Caenorhabditis elegans: one gene and its partners. The protein of the gene in region 2 interacts with the protein of the main gene of each other region in a pairwise test. Each region holds a gene or a part of one and is shown on either strand. Other genes may lie near its edges. The genes, in order: nhr-114, T04C9.1, fkh-8 and F08F8.9.

Evidence for each region.
Region 1: the proteins of T04C9.1 (region 2) and nhr-114 interact in a two-hybrid assay, tested with the Caenorhabditis elegans proteins (2 studies listed by BioGRID).
Region 3: the proteins of T04C9.1 (region 2) and fkh-8 interact in a two-hybrid assay, tested with the Caenorhabditis elegans proteins (2 studies listed by BioGRID).
Region 4: the proteins of T04C9.1 (region 2) and F08F8.9 interact in a two-hybrid assay, tested with the Caenorhabditis elegans proteins (2 studies listed by BioGRID).

Annotation. Positions count from the first base shown.
Region 1 is NC_003283.11:4,185,308-4,190,527, reverse strand, and holds nhr-114 (Nuclear hormone receptor 114), read right to left. Parts: upstream 3,326-5,220; 5' UTR 3,320-3,325; coding exon 3,136-3,319; intron 2,922-3,135; coding exon 2,719-2,921; intron 2,521-2,718; coding exon 2,182-2,520; intron 2,127-2,181; coding exon 1,996-2,126; intron 1,920-1,995; coding exon 1,798-1,919; intron 1,746-1,797; coding exon 1,631-1,745; exon of another isoform or gene 1,518-1,630; intron 827-1,517; coding exon 664-826; 3' UTR 524-663; downstream 1-523. Other genes in the region: Y45G5AM.9 (Aftiphilin clathrin-binding box domain-containing protein), read left to right, coding at 381-512. UniProt on the Caenorhabditis elegans protein: Probable transcription factor which may have a role in detoxifying dietary metabolites arising from bacterial tryptophan metabolism.
Region 2 is NC_003281.10:5,991,595-5,996,231, forward strand, and holds the start of T04C9.1 (Rho GTPase-activating protein 26), read left to right. Parts: upstream 1-1,624; 5' UTR 1,625-1,679; coding exon 1,680-1,833; intron 1,834-1,910; coding exon 1,911-2,006; intron 2,007-2,591; coding exon 2,592-2,881; intron 2,882-3,290; coding exon 3,291-3,390; intron 3,391-3,795; coding exon 3,796-3,857; intron 3,858-3,907; coding exon 3,908-3,982; intron 3,983-4,041; coding exon 4,042-4,120; intron 4,121-4,637. Other genes in the region: T04C9.2 (uncharacterized protein), read left to right, coding at 286-636.
Region 3 is NC_003280.10:6,189,106-6,193,219, reverse strand, and holds fkh-8 (Forkhead box protein pes-1), read left to right. Parts: upstream 1-1,826; 5' UTR 1,827-1,845; coding exon 1,846-2,010; intron 2,011-2,347; coding exon 2,348-2,542; intron 2,543-2,587; coding exon 2,588-2,657; intron 2,658-2,704; coding exon 2,705-2,803; intron 2,804-2,852; coding exon 2,853-2,935; intron 2,936-2,986; coding exon 2,987-3,100; intron 3,101-3,199; coding exon 3,200-3,299; intron 3,300-3,347; coding exon 3,348-3,508; 3' UTR 3,509-3,597; downstream 3,598-4,114. Other genes in the region: cpb-2 (Cytoplasmic polyadenylation element-binding protein 2), read right to left, coding at 1-291.
Region 4 is NC_003281.10:7,348,751-7,355,613, reverse strand, and holds F08F8.9 (uncharacterized protein), read left to right. Parts: upstream 1-1,642; 5' UTR 1,643-1,660; coding exon 1,661-1,684; intron 1,685-1,822; coding exon 1,823-2,031; intron 2,032-2,077; coding exon 2,078-2,195; intron 2,196-2,757; coding exon 2,758-3,125; intron 3,126-3,505; coding exon 3,506-4,306; intron 4,307-4,889; coding exon 4,890-5,092; intron 5,093-5,674; coding exon 5,675-5,737; intron 5,738-6,111; coding exon 6,112-6,206; 3' UTR 6,207-6,323; downstream 6,324-6,863. Other genes in the region: F08F8.10 (Nuclear transcription factor Y subunit), read left to right, coding at 480-706, 1,172-1,231, 1,279-1,358; gos-28 (Golgi SNAP receptor complex member 1), read left to right, coding at 6,450-6,552.

The DNA of each region.
Region 1 (5,220 bases), on a different chromosome or scaffold from region 2:
GATTTGCCGGAATTTTTCGTTTTCGGGAAATTGCCGGTTTGCCGGAATTTTTCGTTTTCGGGAAATTGCCGGTTTGCCGGAATTTTTCGTTTTCGGCAAATTGCCGGTGTTCCGATTTGCCGGAAATTTTCAATTCCGGCAATTTCGCCGATTTGCCAGAAAATGTCATTTTCGACAAATTGTCAGTTTGCCGATTTGCCGGAAAAATCGTTTGCCCCCGACCCCTGCTTTGAATTATGAACAAAAACCTTCAATCAACTTTAAAATAGCAATGCAACATTTTGAAATTAAAATTTGCAATCAATTTTTTTTGTCAAAAAATGTTCTAAAAATTGAACTAATTTTGCCAAAAATTTACCCCAAAAATCCCGTAATTTCAGATGACGACTGCATTATCACAGGACGAATTTACGGGATTTCAAAATTCGGAAATACAGAAAGAAGAAGACGATGACGACGATGAGTGGGGAGATTTTGGAGAAGCCGTTGTTGCTGCTGCACCAATTCAGGCGGTAAGAAAAAAAAGTTAAAACTTTATTGCAAAAAAAATACCAAAAAAAAAAAATAATAATAAACGTATATAAATAGGATTAGCATTGAGATTTTTTTTCAAGCGTGTAAATATTTCTGGAAATTAATTTATTAAATTTAAATTTATTCACTTCACAATTTGTGAGCAACAACGCTCGTCGTATCACCGAAAAACAGTTGCCGGGCAAACGCCGAGAAGCCGATATTCTCGAAAAAGTCTGCAATCCACACGGCCTCTTTCGATTCGCACGCCATTTTTGACATGGACGTTCCCATCAGAACCAATCGTGCGAATCTGCAACACGGGGATGAAATTGTGATCTATCAGTGCCGGGGGCTAAAAATTTTGGTAAATTGCCGAACTTTTGGTACATTCTCAAAATTTTAATAAATTGCCAATTTTTTGATAAATTGCCTAAATTTTGGGAAATGTTCAAAATTTTGGTAAATTCTTAAAATTTTGGTAAATTGCCAATTTTTTAATAAATTGCCAAAACTTTTGGAGGCACCACCGAAAGGAGAACATGTGAAAAAGGAGAATTACGAAAAGGAGAACACAAAACCACGCCCATTTTTCCATGCCGCGCGCAAGTTTTTGCAGAAACTTGTGCAAATTTTTATTTTCAAACGAGATAACGCGAAGCTCCGAAAGAACGTATCGCGTGTTGTTTATCACACGAATTCGTTAGTTCGGATCTTCGTTGTCTCGTTTGAAAATAAAAATTTGCACAAGTTTATGCAAAAACTTGCGCTCGGCACGGATAAATAGGCGTGGTTTTGTGTTCTCCTTTTCGTAATTCTCCTTTTTCACATGTTCTCGTTTCCGTGGTGCCTCCCAAAATTGTGAGAATTTTTCCAAAATTTTAGCATTTTACCAAAATGTTGAGAATTTACCAAAATTTTAGCATTTTACCAAAAATTTGAAAATTTAGCAAAATTTAGAGAATTTACCGAAATTTTGGTCAAAGTGTTCCAACTTAGCTTACTTAGCTAGTCCGCAACAAGACACATCAAATTGTGATCTATCAATGTTTGATTTGATCGACAAGCGAGTAATAGATGAATGCATCAAAGGAAGGAAAAACGTGATTTCACCAACCTTTCGATTGCCGTGTCCACGTCGTCTTTCATGGCCATGTAGCCGTATAACTGCTTGGTGATGCGGACTCGTTCGTTGTTCACAAGCTTGCGAGCCGGTAGAGAGATGTCAGCGTCTGGAATCGCATCAAAGTGAAAGTTTGGCTCTTATTGAGATTCCGCCCGGACCTGGATTCAGAAACGTTACCGCTTTGAACGCTGCAAATTCGGTTGCGTCGAGCTGTAGATCACGGAACGGCTTGAGCACGAGATCCAACATTTGATACTTTTTCCTGTTGAGTCCGGCTGGCCTATAACGATTGAACACAACGCGGAACGAGACGGGAATTGGGGCTCGGTTTGGAGTATATGTGACCGACAACTTACCGGGTTGGCTCTGGAGTACGATCGAAGTAGGCACCATCTGGGAATACAATTGTGTCTGGTCCGTAGTCCGGGGAGTTCCAGACTTGAACCAGGACTGGGACTGTTATTGCGGCATGGCGAACAAGTTCGGCCTGGAAAGGATTGAAATAATTAAATCGTTATACATGTTTCTGGTTTTCTTCCAACCTTATCTTGATAATCGAGCGCCTCAAAAACATCGAATGTTTTGGCATACTCTGTCAACAAGAACCAGTCTCTCTCGTGCCAATAGTGGTAGTCGTCGTGATTGACGAATCGTAGATCGAAGATCTGATGTCTCTCACTCGGCTGTCCCCACTTTTCCAAAAAAGCCGTGTCGTTCAGCAGAGCCTTTGAGCATAGAGCCTCGTGGAGAGATCGGATTGGAAGATATTCGGAGAGTCGGAGATCATTTGCACACTTTTCGCGTTCGGCAAGAGTTTGTAGGATGCAGCGACGAGGTTTCAGTGGTGCAGCTTGGAAAAGGAGTGGCGAGATTGGTGGAGGCTGTAATTTGGGATCACGTGGTGTCAGAGTTTCTCATTTCGGCTTGATCTACGTAGATCTATAGAAAATGCGGGAAAAGAGACGCAGAGTTCTCAACTGATTTTGCATGGTTGAGAACGTGCTGACGTCACACATTTTTTGGGCAAAAAAATTCTCGCATTTTTTGTAGATCAAACCGTAATTGGACTAATTAATTACCGATAGCTGTAATGGAGACACTGATGGTGGGGTGCTTGCTCCTTCGTCACTTGAACAGTCCGAGGTAGTCTTCAGCTCTTTTTTTGGACGCCTGGTACGTTTTGTGTATCCGATAGGGTCACGGTTTTGTTGGAGGGCGTTTCGGTCCATTCCCACGCTCAAACATTTCTCGAATCGGCAGTATCGGCAGGCACAGCGGATAGCTGAACTTTTGAAATATTTTTTATAAGTTCCTTGTTACTGCTAACAAGTGGTGTCAGAGTGTCCCATTTCGTTTTGATCTACGAGAATTGCGGAACTGATTCCGCATGGTTAAGAACGTGCTGACGTCACATTTTTTGGGCGAAAAATCCCCGCATTTCTTGTAGATCAAACCGAAATGGGACAGCCTGACACCAAGTGTGCTAAATAACTCACTTTTATCAACTGGACAATTGCCCTCGAATTGGCAAATGTACTTTTGTTTCTTCATAATTGTTCGCCGGAAAAATGTCTTGCATCCGACACATGACGGGACACCATAATGGTAGCCAGAAGCGAAATCTTGACAAACGAGACAAACGTGATCACGAGACGAGCTCGGAGACGATTGAGGTGTCATTTTGACCTGAAATACGCCTTGTTTGTATTGGTTTTTTTTGTGACAACGAGAATAATGCCAAGAGACACTAGACACGATAACAAATGCAAAGTGCCCCCGAATCGATGCGTTTTAGAGATAAAATGAAGGAGAAGAGGAGAGGTAAACTACAACAATTGAACTGTGATGTGAGACAGGCTAGGGACAGCTGTTGCAAAAAAACATTTGAACTTTTGATTTCTAATCATTTGAGCAAACTTTTTTTGAAACAATGATTTGCTGGGTGGTTTTGGAAGTTTTTTTGGAAAGAAATCAAGTCCTTGATGAAGTGACTCGGAAAAACGGGCGGTCAAATGATTGTTCATTATCAACATATTAACAGGCTGCCTAAGAAATGAGAATAGAAGACCTTGAGATGTATATTCTATATATGTCTGATATCAACGTGAAGATCGAACTGTCTTGCAATAAAACACAGTGGCTTGGGGCCTGCTGCTGACCAGCAGCTTCATCGCGTCCTCATGTATTTTTCACACTACCCCCTCCTCCTCTCAATTTCCGATCGTCCCCGTCGTCATACGACAAAGATTTGGGACGTTATCGCTGCCCGTTATATACGATTCTTCTTGACCAATGAACAAAGTACATGCGATGGGGGGGGGGGGGGGGGTGGAGCCTCTCTTGGAAAATGCCACGAGAAAACCACGCCATGTAATGTTGAAGAAGGGAAGATTTGATAAAGAAAGAAGTCTGCACCTACCTACTATGTGAGAAGACTTTTGTACACACAGACTGTAGCAGCAGCAGCAGAAGAAGAAGCTACACGTGGTGGCAGAGTGTCTCATTTTGGATTGATCTACGTTGATCTACAAAAAATGCGGGTGAGAAGAAACGCAGAGTTCTCAACTGTTTTCGGATGGTTAAAAACGTACTGACGTCACACATTTTTTTGGGCGAAAATTTCCGCATTTTTTGTAGATCAAACCGTAATGGGACCGTCTGGCACTACGTGAGCTAATCAATTTGTCTATGATACAGGAGACATGAAGAATGAGAAAGTTGCATTGTTAGTTGCTGAGAAATAGGCGAAAATTCGTCCTATTAGATGTTTTGGTCATTTGATTGCTGATAAGACACTGATAAGTGCTAATCAATTTAAGAATTAGTTGTTGGTAAATTTAACCATCTTATGATTAAAATAAAAACATCAATATTTGTACAAAAAATTCTGAGAATGCGTATTGCATAACATATTTGACGCGCAAAACATCTCGTAGCGAAAAAGAAGACTACAGTAATCGTTTAAATGACTTCTGTAGTGCTTCTGTGTCGATTTACGAGCTCGATTTTTGAAATGAATTCTTCTTTTCGAATATTGCCGGTCCAGAGAATGAGGAAAGTTGAATGGACACAGATATTCCGGAACCCAAGGTTGCGGGAAGAGCCGATTTGTATGGATTTACGGAGAGTTTGTGAATAAAAACACTCCGTAAATCGACAAAAATCGTCTCTTCCCGCGCCCCGCCCCTTGGGTTCCGGAATGTCTGTGTCCATTCAACTATCTACACTCTCTGTACCGGTAATATTTGAAAAGAAGAATTTAATTAAAGAATCGATCTCCCGTAAATCGACACAAAAGCACTACAGTAGCCATTTAAACGATTACTGTAGTTTTCTTTTTCGCTGCGAGATATTTTGCGCGGCAAATGTGTTGCACAATACGCAGCATTCTCAGAATTTTTTTTTTCGATGTCAGCGTGGCGAGACCCATGCGCGCAGGATACGCCGAAAATGCTTTTATTCAGACTTCAAAGCGACTTTTTGCAAAAATCCAAAATTGTCCTAAATTTCTTTAAAAAATCACAAACAAAATGAAAAAAAAATCGCGGAAGATTGCAAAAATCCAACTTCACGTAGTGTCA
Region 2 (4,637 bases):
TGACGTCGTCAACTTCTTCTTCTTCCCCTACTTCTTCCTCCGTCGCCGCTGTCGTCGTTTTTCTTTCCTCTTCATAATCGCTTTCCGTCGACCACTCGAATATTCTGACGTTCGCCGTGCCGCGACTCATCCGTTCGTTTCTATGATTCGAATTTTTTGAGAAAAACTAGAAAGCGTTGATATTGTCAAGTGTTTCGTTTTAGGATATATTCTAAAGACGAAAGGACGGATGCAAGTGTGTGTATGTATTTGTGCCATTGCAATGACGAGAGCGGAGCAAAGAAAATGACGAAGAAGAAGAAGCAGTCCTTCTCTTCGCTCATTCTTCTACTGCTCGTTCTTCCCATATATACTCATTCCCCCCGGAGAATTGTTCTTTTCCGCATTGCTGCTTCCCGTTGCCGCTGTCGTCGTCCGCCTTTCCTTTCGATTCGAATCGGATCGACAAGTTCCAGACGGCAAGAGTCATCCCTTCCATCCATAAACGCCATCACTGTCGTCGTCGTCGTCGCCTTCTTCTTTGAAAAAATGAGAAAAGCTAGAAAAAATGACGAATTGTGTTGGAGTCCTCGTCCTTCTCCTCTGCCTCTCCTTCTTTGGCGATGGCACACAACAGCATGGCCACAACACAAATAACGCGATAACTTTGTTTCGGCTCCTATACAAATTTGGTTATTTTTGTTGGTCGCTCCAACATTTTTTTCGTCCTCATCCGAGCCATGACTTCTCTTCTCCTTTTCCTCTATTTCGTCTCAAACTTCCGTTCTTTTTTACCTAATCATCATTATTAGCCCCATCCTTATCATCTTCTGGAACCCACATCGTCATCTTCGGTTTCTTTCTTTTTGAGGCACAAGCAACAACTACTTTTCTCGCATCTTCTCTCCTCCAGCTTCTCTTCTTTATGAGCCGGGTTAGGGGCTCTTCGAAAATTGTTTCCACTCGGCTGCCTTCGTGTTTTCGACGTGCCCGAACTTGCTCAAAACCGAAGCTCACGCATCGTTAGGTAACGAAAGAATTACACGTAGGAGGGACGCACTGCCGTTTGATTCTTATCTGTCATCGTCAGGATTGTTGCAACCTCTTCAATCCTCCGGATGTGCGTTGATTCCCGCACGATTAGACAATTTGTTGTGAAGGTGTACGCTATGTTTTGTCGTAAAATAGGTCACACTTGGAAGTTTTATTTTGGCAGCTTCATAATTATTCTAATTTATGATGTGATGGATTTTCTTTTTATATTTCATTTATCTGATTACCTTTCTCATTTTCCATATCAATTCTTGCTCGGTTCATCAGCTAATTCCATTGGTAGTGTCAGAATTCATGTAGCAGATAGATAGATACTCATAGATATTCCTTCGTCGCCTCAAGTATCAAGTTTCTTGCTTCTTTTTCTTCTTCTTCTTCTCTTCGCTTGTCCATATCCCCCGCGAGTTCTTCTTTCCTTTTCTTTTAATTGTTTACTTCTTCTCCTCATTCTACTCATCTTTTCCTTCATGTTTCAGAAAAAATTGTGGTATTTTGAGACAATTTTTTCTTTTCATTTCTCTATGTTTGCCTATCACTGAGGCTTTTTCTCTTGAAAATCTCTGCAAATCATTCCAATCAAAAATAATTTCAGGACACCTTGTCCAGTAGACAAAACCCGTCTACTTAGGACTCTGCGCTCATCACAAATGGTGTTACGGGCGCTCGAGTTTTCGGACTCGATATCCGATTCTCCGTGGTTTCGACAAAATTTGCATGATCACGAAGTGGCACTGGACGACGCTTTCAAGAACATCAAGCTCATTGAGAATCAGTGCAAGGAGCTGATTGCGTGCACAAAAAGTATGTGGCTTTTCTCTCTTTTTGACCCTTTACTTTTCCATTTAATCGCGTGGAATTTATAATTATTTTTATTGCAGAGCTTTCAACAGCACAACGAGCATTCGCAAAGACGTTAAGTGAATTCAAGTTTGAAACAGTCGGAACAAATCAGACAGATGATGAACGGTTTATTGGTGAGACTTTTGTTTAGCAAAAATTTATATAAAAAAATACGCGATGTTAAAAAAAAAAGTACAAAACATTTTTATTTTAAAAAAATTTCGCAGTAAAAAAATTAATTTCGGAATTTTATTATCCAGCCAAGAAAAATCGAAATTTGCTGAAAACATGTTTTTAAATGTTTTAAAATTATTAAATTTCAATTTTTTTTAATTTACCATAGTTAAAAAAAAATTTTAAACATTTTTAGGAATAGCAAAAAAGAGTATTTTGCCGTAGCAACCGTTCATTTTTGCCAAATTTTTCAAAGTCATATTTTTTACAATAAAAAAATAGTGTTGAACTCTCTTTTAAAATTTTTTTAATTGTCTCGAATTTCAATATTCCAACAAAGACCTTCGAAATCTGAATTGTTCGTGAAATTTTGAAATTTTTATAAGTTTCCTTCAATAAAAAAATTCGTTTCAGTTTTTTCTCCCAAAAAATCTATCGAAAGTTAACAAAATCCAAATTGCAAGTGATTCTCATTGTAATTTACCAAAATGCTTAATTTTCATAAATATTTTTATTGTCTTTGAAATAATATTTCACATTTTCAGCCACATGTCTAAAAGAATTCGGAAGTCTGATCAATCAAGTCGAAGATGAACGAATGAAACTTGTTGGACAAGCTGAAGAAAGTTATTTGGAACCAATAAAAAAGTTTCGAACTGAGGCGATTGGTAGAACATTGAAAGAGGAAAAGAATAAATATGACAAAGAAAGTAGCAAGTTCTATCAAACACTTGAAAAACATCTTCATCTGAGTACTGTTCGTAATAACGATTTTCGAGCCGCTGATGCCCAATTGGAGACTCAACAGAAAAACTTTTTTCAAGCTTCGTTACAGGTTTGAGTTTATAAAGTTGTCTTCAAATTATAAAATTGGAAAAAATTTGTGTTTTAATTTTCAGAATTAATGAAATTTTGGCCATTTTCTATTTTTAGACTAAAATTTCTTTCTAAATTTTTTTTTGGAAAATCGAAGGAATTTTGGTTTTTCGAATTAAAAAAAATCAACAAAAAAAATTTTTTTTCTGAAATATTGCGAATTTAAAATTTCTTTCAAAAAAAAAAAAACTTTCTGCCTTTTCAGAATTTAAAAAAATCAAAAGTTTTCGTTTTTAGTTTTTCTAAATAGTGTAATTCAAGTTTTTAAGAATTTGCCGTTGGAAATAGTACAATATAAATTGCTATTTTCAGTTAAAAAGTATATTCAACATAATTTCTCAAAAATAAAAAATAAAAAAAATTTACAGTATGTGGCAGAAGTTCAATCAGTTCAAGAACGAATGCGGTTCGAGTTTGTCGAAACATTAGGATCTTATGTTTATTCGTGGCTTTCATTTTTTCATGTTGGTAAGTATTTGTACAGGTAAAAAAAAGTTTCTGAATGATTATACAAATTTTATAAATTTGAATATTTTTCACAAAAAAAAATAGAAATTACTTGAAAAATCAGATTTTCGACAACTTTGTCTCGATTATAATTTTGAAAATAAAACTAACTATTTTAAATCACAAACTTTTCTATTTCACTTACAGAAATTCGGATTTCATGTAAAATTTCGACCAGAATGAAAAAAAAATTAAAAATTAAACAAAAATATATTTTTTCATTTTTTTTCTATAAATTATCGAAATATCATCGAAAATGAAGAAAAAAAAATCAAACTACTCACAAAAAGGCATTATTATTTTTAAATTTGGTTTCCAGACACATCATTTTTTTTTGCATTTTTCTAAAACTTTTTCCTGTTTCAGGTAGTGTGATTCATCAAGATTTCAAACCATTCCTTGACAATGTACAAACAAAAGTTCAAAAGGTTAGTTTAAAAAACTCTCCCCGTCAGATCGAAATTTTATCGAATTTCAGACAAAGGAAAATTATAATGCAACGAATGCTGAGGCAGAAGAGCTTAAGAAAAAACTGTTGGCTTCTCATACAAAAGTAAGTTTTTTCATACTTTGGAATTTCATATTCATCGCAAATTTTTATTGAAATTACAGCCGGGTTCTGAAGATCGACGACCGACGCCATCAATTAAACAAGGATACGTGTATATGCAGGAAAAGAGCAAAATTCCGAGTAAGTTTCTATATACAAAATTTGGTTTATTAAAAAAATTCAAAATGAAAAAATGCATCTGAAAGTTCTCGATTTTAGAAAAAATCAACCAGAAAATTATTATTTTATGAATAAAATATTCGGTTTTCACAAAATGAGAGCCTCTTTTAAAAATTAAAATTTTTCGTTCGATTTTGTTATTTTTTATAAAAATCTAACTAATATTTTCAAAAAATAAATTACCAGTTTCAATTGTGAAAATCTTTTCCAAAAATTATTTTCAATTTTTCAATTGGCCTGAAATTTGAAAATTTCACTAAAAAAATTACTGAAATGTGGTTTTAAATTTAGAAAAAAATAAAATGATAGTAAAGAAAACAAGAGACTTAACAGTTTTGTAGCGTTACAGTAACCACTTTGAAAGATAATTCACAATTAATTTTGCAAAATTAGGACAAAAATTTTCGATGATAAAAAAATTAATTTTAAGACTTTTGAAAGTCGATAATTATAAATCGCTATAAGAATACAAAATCGT
Region 3 (4,114 bases), on a different chromosome or scaffold from region 2:
ATCCTCACTCTCCACCAAGTTTATCTTCTCCAATGGAGTGCTGGAATTCCAGTCCTGTCTTTCACGAAACATATCATTGGATTTGGCATTTTGCTGTTCCAATTCTTGAGTGACCAAGTTATTTTGTTTGAAAAAATGTTCATCTAGCACATCATCTTTTGCAGTGTCCATCATACCACGACATTTACGACGATTCATCTTCGACAGCTTGTGTTCTTCAAATCTATCACCATTACCCCAGAAGTCATCATCTCCTTGCATTGAGAGAAACACGCGCCTTGATTTTGACATCTGAAGTGATTTTGGTTCCACGTTGTCATGTTCTAGAAACTTCGCTCACCTTCGAAATTCGCGTAGGCAATCGATACAAAATATTATTCAGAAATAATCAAAACTCCGGTTGTTCATCTGATGAGACGTTTCACGCGGATGGCATTTTATTTTCATGTCCCAATGCCCTCAATTCATTTATTTCATTTTAATCACGTTTTTTGTTCAGAATGGAATCACATCTCTAAAATTTGAATTACAATTGAAATCATTTTTTTAATCAGCTGTAATCTCTGCAACAATATTTTTTAATTACCCCGTAGAGTGCAAGAATCAAGATTAATATAGGAAATACGGTATTTATGTTTTCCTTACGGGCTATAGATTTGTAATCTAAACGCTCTAAAACTACATACAGTTATTCAGCAGCACAAAAATCTAAAAATGTTTTCCAATTTCGATTTATGTCATATATTTGAAATCAATGATCAAATGAATATAAGTGAGTTTCAGAATGATATAATACATTGAATGTATTCTTTCTCGTGTTTTGCACCTTTTCTTTCTATTTTCTCACACAATCAGCCGCCGTCTTGTTTCACTTCTGACCAGAAATTATCGCCTCGCGCGTATTTTCAAAAGGGTTCTGACGCATTCTCCCCTAGCAGTTGTCTATAACTTCCCAAATTTAGATTTATATTCTCAGAAGTGATGTTTTTTCAGGCCCGGCAGTATGAAATAAAAACAACGAGTTGATGGTATAGTATACTCATTATTTATTTTTTCGAGTAAGTCAAACTGAATACAATATTCTAAAATAAACTTTAGTTATTTAAAGATGACTATGTCAGGTGCAATCGAGTTCCACCAAAAATCAGCTCACTTTTGTTGTAAAATTAATAGACTGAACATGCGTTTTTTTCTTAGAATAGAAAACCATACGTGTCCATTTTTAAATATCATGATTTTGTTTTGGCAAATTTTGAATATAAATCACTTTAAGAAATTGTTCAAAGTTATTCAACGAGTCATAAAATCACAGAAACTTGTGCTACAGTAACCCAACTACTACGGCTCCCATGCTAATGAATGTTGTTTTACAAAAATATCATATCTGAATAAGAATACCTGGAAAAACCTGAATACGTTTTGTGTTCGTTCTCAACACCCCAAAAATAAGAATTTTTTCCAAGACTTGTTTCGTTTGAATCACTCTGTCGTGGATCTCGTTGAGGTTTCGATGTTTGCTCTTTTACTTACTTTTATTTCTTTTTTATTTGTTGTCTTGTTGGTCCCACCTTCTCCTTATTCTATGACTCATTCATGCACAGACTAACATTCGCTCCTCTTTTTCCCTGAAGCCGTTCAGTCTGTTGGTTGCCCCAACGACGCCGCCTGCTCTGCATCGATTTTCGTGTCACCTGCTTGCTGCATTCCTCGCTTCTCTTCTTTTCCTCTTCATTCCATTTTCACAAACCTCATGCATTTCCAATCTCAATTATTCCTCCATTCATCCACCGATTCTCCTCTTTTTTAAGATCCACAGTTTTAATTTCAGAAGGTCAATCACTTGTGATGTCAGATCTAAGCTCAAGCTTGTGCCAATTGAACTGGCTCATTGCCAAAGGTGGACTGAACACAGTACAAGAAATCGAAGTACCTGAAAACCCTAATATTGTTGGATCTGTGAATGTTTCGCCACTGGTCCTATCTCCTACAGTACCTGCAGAAACGTCAAAGGCAATTTTAATAAATATTTGAAATGTCATAGAAAATCAGAGAACTCTTTCAATTATGCTCTGAATGTTTTGTTGCAAATCTACTCATATTTTTAGAATTAATAATTTTAATTTAGTTGCAAACATCACTTACATATATTTTTCGAATACATAATCTAAATGACCTGGCCTTTTTCGTCCTTCCTTGAAATTAAATTACGCCGGTAATTTCATACAATTCAATTTCGGTGAGGGTGGCACCTGCAGCGTCATAACTCGAATTAGATTTATGTGGCTGAGGTCAACATCTGGTTTTTAGAAAGATCTATTGCTCTTTTATAATTGCTTTCTAATTTCAGCCAGTGGCTCCTGCACACGAAGGAAAACGGAGGAGAATTTTTGATGGAGCGGATAAGCCACCATATTCATACTCTCAACTTATTCGTCTAGCTATCGAAGATACTCCCGATAAAAAATGTACTCTTGCTGAAATCTACTCTTTCATTGCTCACAACTTTCAATTCTATCGTGAAAACCGGAATTCAAGTTGGAAGGTAATCCTTATTCCGGATATTGGAATTCTACGTTTGAAATTGCAGAATTCCATTCGCCATAATCTGTCATTAAATAAACAATTCAGCCGCATTGAGAAGACTGATGGAGATAGAAGTGAGATAATTATTTAATGATTAATTTAATTGAATTCATTTTTACAGGAGGATGGTGGGTTTGTGTAGATCCGCCAGCCAAGAAACCACGAATTCTCAAAGGATCCCCAGTGCGAGTAAATCCAATTTACGAGCATCTATATCATAGTAATACATAAGATTATAACTGATCAACAATATCAATAATTGTTTTCAGATAAACAAGACATGCCAAATTTCACTCCTCCGCCAGAAGATCCATTCCTGTCAGAAATTAATGGAAATGTACATGAACTTACGGTATCTTATCAAACATTCCCTCATGCAAGCTTAATTTTATTTCATTCACAGGAACACGAAATAAGAGATTTGAATTTGTTCGAGTCATATGATCTAAACTCATCATTCCGTGATGTCTACAATCAAATTTTTGAGAAGTCCACTTCCCCCAATGGGAAGAAGCAAGTAAGTGAAAAAAAAGTTCAGTTCTGAGAAGCAAAATTCTAGAGATCTTGTGTGTTGGAAATTCAATAATTAATTCTTAAAGTATATTATTAACTTCAGGCTGCTCAAATCGATTGGTTGAAAATAAGCTTAGAAGCTGCTGGACTTGATTATCACGATGAACAAGAACTTCAAGAAGTTGATACGGATAAGTTGAAAGGTTAAAATGAAAAGAAACTATTTTTAAACTTAATTTCCAAAAATTTAGATTACGTCTACAATGGATTCCCAGCAGAATGCGACAGTGATGTCTCAACTCCAAGAACAGACTCTGGCCGTCATTCATCCTCAGATTCTGTTCTTTCAGCCACTCTTCAACCAGTTAACAATGATTCAGATGATGAGTATGACTGGGATAAATTGCTATAAATTGTTAATCTAAAGGTTCAAAAACTCACATATTTTTCACACAGTGTCCAAATTTCATTTGTACAAAAATACATTGTTAGTTAGTTTTCATTTTCATATTCATTTTTCGTAAACATTCAATGAATTGTTTACTGATACTATACGCCAAGTTTATGCATGTAGCCACGCCTGTACTTTCCAAAAAAAAATCTGGTAATGGCATTCGATTTCAAATTCGAAAAAAAAAACCTATGTGTCCAAATTTTCATGAGCGATCTAGCCACTTTTTGACTACAGATGTGCACCAACTTTTTTGGTTGAGTACTCATGAGTTGATACAGCAATTAATTATTCAGTCTAACCCCGTTAACCTCCGTCACGTAAATTCAATAAGTGGCAGGAATCCCAATGTCAAAAACGTCATAAAGATTGGAGATGGCGAAATTGAAGACGTACCAAGTATGCTAGTAGACAATTGATACATAAACATACTTGGTACATATTTAAAGATACAGTTTCTTTGACAATACGCGATAACATCTGGAGATGAACTGGAGATGCCATCGTGGAAGCACAAAACAACATGCACAAAAGAGAGAGGCCAACATAGCGATGCTGGAAAAATTA
Region 4 (6,863 bases), 1.4 Mb from region 2:
ATATCATGTATAACAAAGAAAGTAACCAGTTTGTACCTGTGTATACCTTCTTGGAAAACAGGCGGTATTTCTGATAATCAACTTGTTTAATCGGAAGTTTTGGAATTTAATTTTAATAACTCCCTACATAAATGTTTTACGAAGTAGTGCATATGCTGAGTCATTTTGCAGTAAATTCATATTTCTGCTGAGAAACTCACACATGCTCAGCTTCTCAAATTATACAACAATTCAGAACTTTCTCTAAAACTGAGGTTTGAGAAAAAATTCATGATATGTTATCGAGTAGCCTATTCCCGAATTACTATATTCATGATGCATCATGTGCTAAATTGCTTCTCACGGAGTTCAAGCATGAAAGTCGAAATTTGAATTGTTCAATATGTTCTTATGAATGAATTTGAATGCCTACTGAAACATGTAGTCGAAAACTTCATCATTTATAAAGAGACCATATTTTAAAGTGAGAAAATTTCCAGCTATGCTTCTCAATACTGTGGCCGTTCAGACTACAGTAATCATCACTCCTCCTATCACGATTCTCATCATCCACAGGATGACTTTTATTATCAAGATGGCCGTCCGATGAAAGCTAATAAAAATCCGAACTCGTTCGGTTCTCGGCGCCGTGGAAGACATCACTCAGGGCAAAATTTCGATGTAGATGAACATGAGTATTATGACGATGATCATGGAGCACGCGAAGGTACAGAACATATACCACACTAAATATTTTGAAAGAATATGATTATAGTAAAGTGTAAATTTAGAAAAAAAAACAGTACCCAAGTTAGATTCGTGTGTTTAACCGAATCTTCTAATTGGTACTATTATTCTGTAGAGCCTGCCAATATTTGAGCTTTTGTTTCTCAGTGGAGATACAATTATCTCGTGATGCTAATGTTTCGGCTTGGTTTTGATTATTCAATCATACCATTAAGACCACAGGAGCAATAACTATATTATGTGGTGTACTGTAGAAGAAACAATTCACCATTGCACATTTGAATTCAACTTTGGAAATTTTATTTCGAGGTGTGATTTTCTTGTGAGTAAAATTGTAACTACAAAATTTTTCATATCTGAATTTTTGCAGTTGATCATTTTCAATATTCAAATTACTATTTATTGAAACGTACTCCCTTTTCCTGATAAGTTGGATGTTTTCCAGGTTCATCCTCTTGGAATCGGCCGGTTGACTCCCATCATTATCAAGGAAAAATTAAGCCCGGTAATAAGACATAACTTTGGTTTGTTGCAAGCAAGTTTCATTTTCAGCATTCCCAAAAAAGAGTCGCGGTGGGAATAAGAAGTATCCTAAAAATCAATATCAACACGGAGGAATGGAATATGACTAGAAGGAATGTAGTGGCGATTTCCATTTGTAAATGTTTTAATACTAGTGTTATAAATGTTATGCTTTGTTCAACTAATGAATAAATTATAATTTTTCCCTTCTTTTCCCTGTAAACTTGTAGACGTTGAAAAATCGTCTTTATTATATATTTTTTTAACTGTTCCCTTCTAAACTTTGCCACGTTAAAGTGGTGCGTCGTGACGTCATAGTGTTTGCGGGCGGTGTCGTAAAGTCTGTTGCACAGCTGTACTTACTACAGAAAACGCTTTAATTTCACAATTTCAGCTGAATATTCTTCCCAAAATGTCATCGGAATGGGATAATAAGGTAATTTTTCTGTTTACTCACAACTTGCGATAACTTTTAAATTATAAATTGTTTTTAATACCAAAAAATCATTAAACTTTTTTTGAAAATGTTAGACAAAAAATAGAAAATGAATAATCGATATAAAATGTTTTCCAGATAATCCCAGTTATCGGAGTTCCACTTGAAGCACGCAAACTCCCATCTGCGCGAATTCCCAAGAAACCCAAGGAGACCGATGGAAATTCAACTGAAACTGTGGTCAACTCTACTGAGAAGCCTGAAGAAAGGAAGGAAAAACCTCCGAAACCACCAAAGCAAAAACAGAAACAAAAACAAAATCTAAACAACAAGTTTTTGAAAAATTTGTGAGAAAGTCTTTAATTTTTTCATTTTTTATTTTGTTTTTCTCAGAATCACCGATACTGGTAAACCGGCAAGTATGAACGGGCTTTTTGTGGCAGAAGAGGAGGCTAAACTCACTTTACTGGAGAAAAAGGCAATGAAGATCCATATTGAAGAGAATACATTGGTAAGTTTTTTTTTGATTTACTACTTTAAAGTAAAATTAAAAATTCGCTTTAAATGGCAGAATATGGACCTTAATTATCTAATATAACTGTTAAAAAGTTCTATTATTCAAAAAAATTCAATTTTTCAAAATTCAAAAAAATTAGTTGAATGTTTTGAGATTTTCGCGTTTTCTGGCTATATTTATCGATTTTTCTCCATTTTTCTGTAATATTTGACTCAAAACACAGTTTGCCAATTTTTCAAACATTTTTATAATAGAAAAATTATAGCTTTTTTAATGGCAATTTTGAAGTTTTAGCGAAGTTTTATAGTTATTAAGGTTTCTTTACGGAAAGACTTCTGAAAAATAGACGAACTATGTCGCAAATCAAGAGATTAAGATAAACGGAAAAAAACCTTTTTAATATAGACTGAAAGCGCAAAAATATTAAAAACTTGCACAAAAAAAAAGACTAAACATTTTGGTATATTTCATAATTTTTTAAACAGTTTTATTCGATCATTGCTATCCATTTTAAGCCAAATTTGAAAACTCTACCTTAAAATAAACGTTTCTACAGAGTGATCCCCAGTTTCCGACTTATACAACGAAGCATCAAGGCAGAATAAAGTTCAAATGCAGATTGCTATGGCTTCTCAACAAGGAAACATTTATGAAAAGAGCTAATAAACCTCATCTCGCCAATATTGTGGTAAAACAAGCACACATGGAAGCTGTTCCGCCGAAACAGAATGTTAATCAAAAGAAACAGATGAAAAATCAGGAAAAAAACAAAAACGCCAAACCACTGATGGATATCAAATTTGATGAAAAAGCCAGATCATTCAAGCAAAGAACGGGAGAAGATTACAATGGTGGTTTTGATATTTCGTCGAACTATCAAGGTTCGGAAGGATCCGGAGGATATCAACATATCGGAAATACTTGGTAAGTCGTGATTAAAAAACTTTACAAGTTCGGACAACAGGGCTGGGGAAAAAATTACAAAAAAATTTTAGGTGTTGATCTTGGACCAAAAAAATACGAAAATCAAAACATTTAAATTGGTTTAAAAAAACCAAAAAGAAGTAGAGTCTATTAAAGATTTATAGATTTCGAGAAGACTATTAAAAAACCACATTTTTCTTTTTTTAAAAAATTGCAAATTATGAAAAGTGTTTAATGTACTTACTGAAAGTGTTTTTTTGGGATTTTTGTGTCAAAAATTAAAAATTTATCAGCCCTGTTGACAATCGAGCGATTAAAATAAAGAAAGCAATTTTTGAATAAAAAATTATTAATTACAAAATTTCAAAGTATAATTTCAGGCCTAACACCGAGAGTCAATGGAATTACGATCCTTCAACAAATGGATATTCGACTTTCCTTGCATCAACTCCAGACACTTCTACGACTTATCAGCCATATCAACCATCAGAATATGCCAATTTTTCTCGTCAATTGGAATCTTCGTCGAGTTCTGTTCCTGTATATGGTGGAGCTACGGATCCAACACAAACATCAACATCTTCTGTCATTTCGTTTGGTGTTGCAGTGCACGAACCAATATCTGAATCCTCGGCATCTGCTTATGATGATCCAACAAGAAACCATTGGAACCCACAATCTGCCACGAGTGACTATTCAACCGTTCCAACTTCTGGAACTTCCAATGTTTTCCCATCGTACCAGACATCAGAATATTCTTCTTTTCCAAATCAAACTCCATCTTCTTCTTCTTCATATCAACAGTCTTCACAATATACTCCGATGGTTCCAGATTTGATAAATCAAGCAATTAATGGTTACACAACTCCACAATATAATCAACCGAATCAGCAAGTAAATCAAGATTTCAACACGAATCAATTTTCCGCTTCTCTTGCTTCTCTCCATTCACAACCTTTGGAAGCTTCCGAAGATGAACTTTTGAGACAAAAAAGACTTATGGAAATTGAGCAAGAGCTTCATATGATCAACGCGAAGAAAATGCATATGCAAATGGAAGCTGAAATTCGGCATCGAGAAATGGAATTGGCAAAGAGGCAGCAATTGATGGAGCTGAGGGAAAGAGAGCTCAGAGATAGAGAATGTTTCGAGAATGGTAGAACTCATGCGGGTCATACAGGGTACGTTTTTGAAATAATTGAACAAGTCCTTTTTTAATACTATCCCATATTCCTGTTTTTTTTCATATTTTTCTGCCTTCTCTTTTGAAGGATAAGTTGATATGAGAGATTCCACTAAATTCCCAATATATTCGTCTAATTTTTTTGAGATGTAACAATCAATTGATTTTTCTTTGATTATTTAATTGAAATTAACCTTCGATTACGATCACAGTTTTCAACTTTTCATTGTTTCTTTCGAATTCAGAAACATCGGACAGTGACCTCTAGTTCTGAAGTAACTGAATTCGTTCTGGCTAATCATTGAAAGACTCTGAACGAAAATATTTGAAAATGGGAAAATTGTGGCTCAGAATGTTATAATCGATCGTTTGAGATTTCTAATCGCCATCTGTAAAGCTCTGAGATACTCGTTTAGAATTACATCAAGCTTAGGCTTTGTGAAACATTTTGTGTCCATTCACAAAAAAGTTTGAGGAAATATATTTTGTTTTCTACTTTTATTCCCCCTATTCAACCCCCCCCCCCCCCATATCTTGTAGAATTTCAGATTAACTGATATTCTATTATCCCCTCTTTTCAGCCAGCACAACTATGATAATCGAGAATACAGTTCCCATCACGAATCTAAAAATCCATCTGTTGGCGGCAACTATTCTTCGACTTCGCGGTCGATAAGCATCAACGAGGATCCCGCTGCTTCTCACTATTATGGACAACGAGTCGAAAGAAAGAAGAGACTGGGAGGAGAATTAGCGAGACGACAGGGAAGAGTCTACGAAGAAGGTACAGACAAACGATTTCACATGATGACGCGTTTTCTTTCTTGGATTTTCGATTTTTCTCTCTTTCATAATGTTTTTTGGTTATTTTTGCAGTCAGTATTCAAATCGTAACAGAGGGTTTTTCCAAAAATTACGATTAGAACTTCTGACGCTAATAATCTTCAAATTTGACTATTTCTACTCCCCATCATTGGACTTCCACGTAGGCGTCAAAATGCCTGCCTCGCGCCTCAAACCGGTGCCTTCTGCTAAAATACACATGAATTTAATTTTTTCATTTCTCAATTTGATTCACATTAAATTGATTGAAATTACAAAATATAAATTCGTAAAGTAATGTCAGAATGCAGAAAGAGGCGAGAGGCTGGAAGGTTTCAGGCAGGCACCTAGACCTTCAAACCACGCATGCCTACCTACCAAGATGTATAATACCTGTTCGATAATTTAACGATTTTTGAAGCATAAAATCAAAATTTGTTGGTTTTAATTACTGGGCTGAATATACTCATTCCTGATTCAAATAATTCCCAGCTGATTCCCCAAATCTTCTTATTTCAAATATCCTCATACTTTCTATTTTCAGTTTCAAGCCCAGGCCCATTGAAGCGATCGGCTGATCAAAGTAGAGCAGGAAGTATTCAACCAGGTAATCAAACAAAAAACTTTTTTCAATCATAACCTATAGGTCTATAGTTGCAAAAAAATCGAGTTTTGATGCAAAGTTACAGTACCCGGTCTCACGCCTTTCAAGAGTACAGTAGTTCGCCACCCCCAGTTATTTAATACTTTATCTGCCTTTTCATTGACATTGCTCTTAAAATTTCTTTGAAAACAAATATTAAATAAAATAATTTTTAAAAGTATTTGATGTGATCACATCAAAGAAACGAGATAAATAGCAAGGAAAATTCGCAACTACAGTAATCCATAAAAGTTCATAAATGTTTCTGTCGCGCCATGACCGGATCCAGTAATTTCTTATCAAAAATGGCAAAGTGGTAATACACATATTTTTTTCAGCTGAAGGTCCCAGCAGGAAACAACGTCGTCGTAACAACAAAAACGTTCAAGTAACGGTCAATATGGAAGATATCAGTGATGACGAAGAAGTTTGATTCACAATTGGCTGGAAAACTTTGTTTTGTTCGAAATCAATTCAATCGTAGAATCGTTATTGGAAAATCTCGTTCTTTTTTAATTCAATTTAAGTTTTTGAATGAAGTTTTACTCATAACTTCCGTTTAATTTTATTTGTTGTTAATTTTCTAATCGTCAAAATATCGATGAATATATTTATTTCTCATAGTAGTGACCAACATTTCAGTCACTCGAAAAAACAATACTTTCAGGAACACAGAATGTCAGAAACTTGGGAAGCGTTGCGGAAGAAAGCCCGAAGCACAGAAAATTCCATCGATGTCAAGCTCGTCTCCCTGAATAAATTAACGGCTAGCTCTCATGGTAAGTATTACCAAGAATTTTACGATTTTATCCTCAGAAAATACGATACCGGGTCTTGACACGAAACATTTTCATAAAATACAAAAAAGTGTGCGCCTTTGAAGAGTACTGCACTTTCTGAATTGTGTTGATGCGGAAGTTTCAAAAAAAATATATGTATTTATTTGAAAAACCCAAATATTATATATTCTGAAAAAAAAACTTTAAAAAAGAAAAAGAAACTAATGAAAAAACCAAAAAGGGCATTTATAAAGAACATTTTCGTGTCGAGACCGGGTACAGTATTTTTGGCGTTTGAATAACCAACTTTC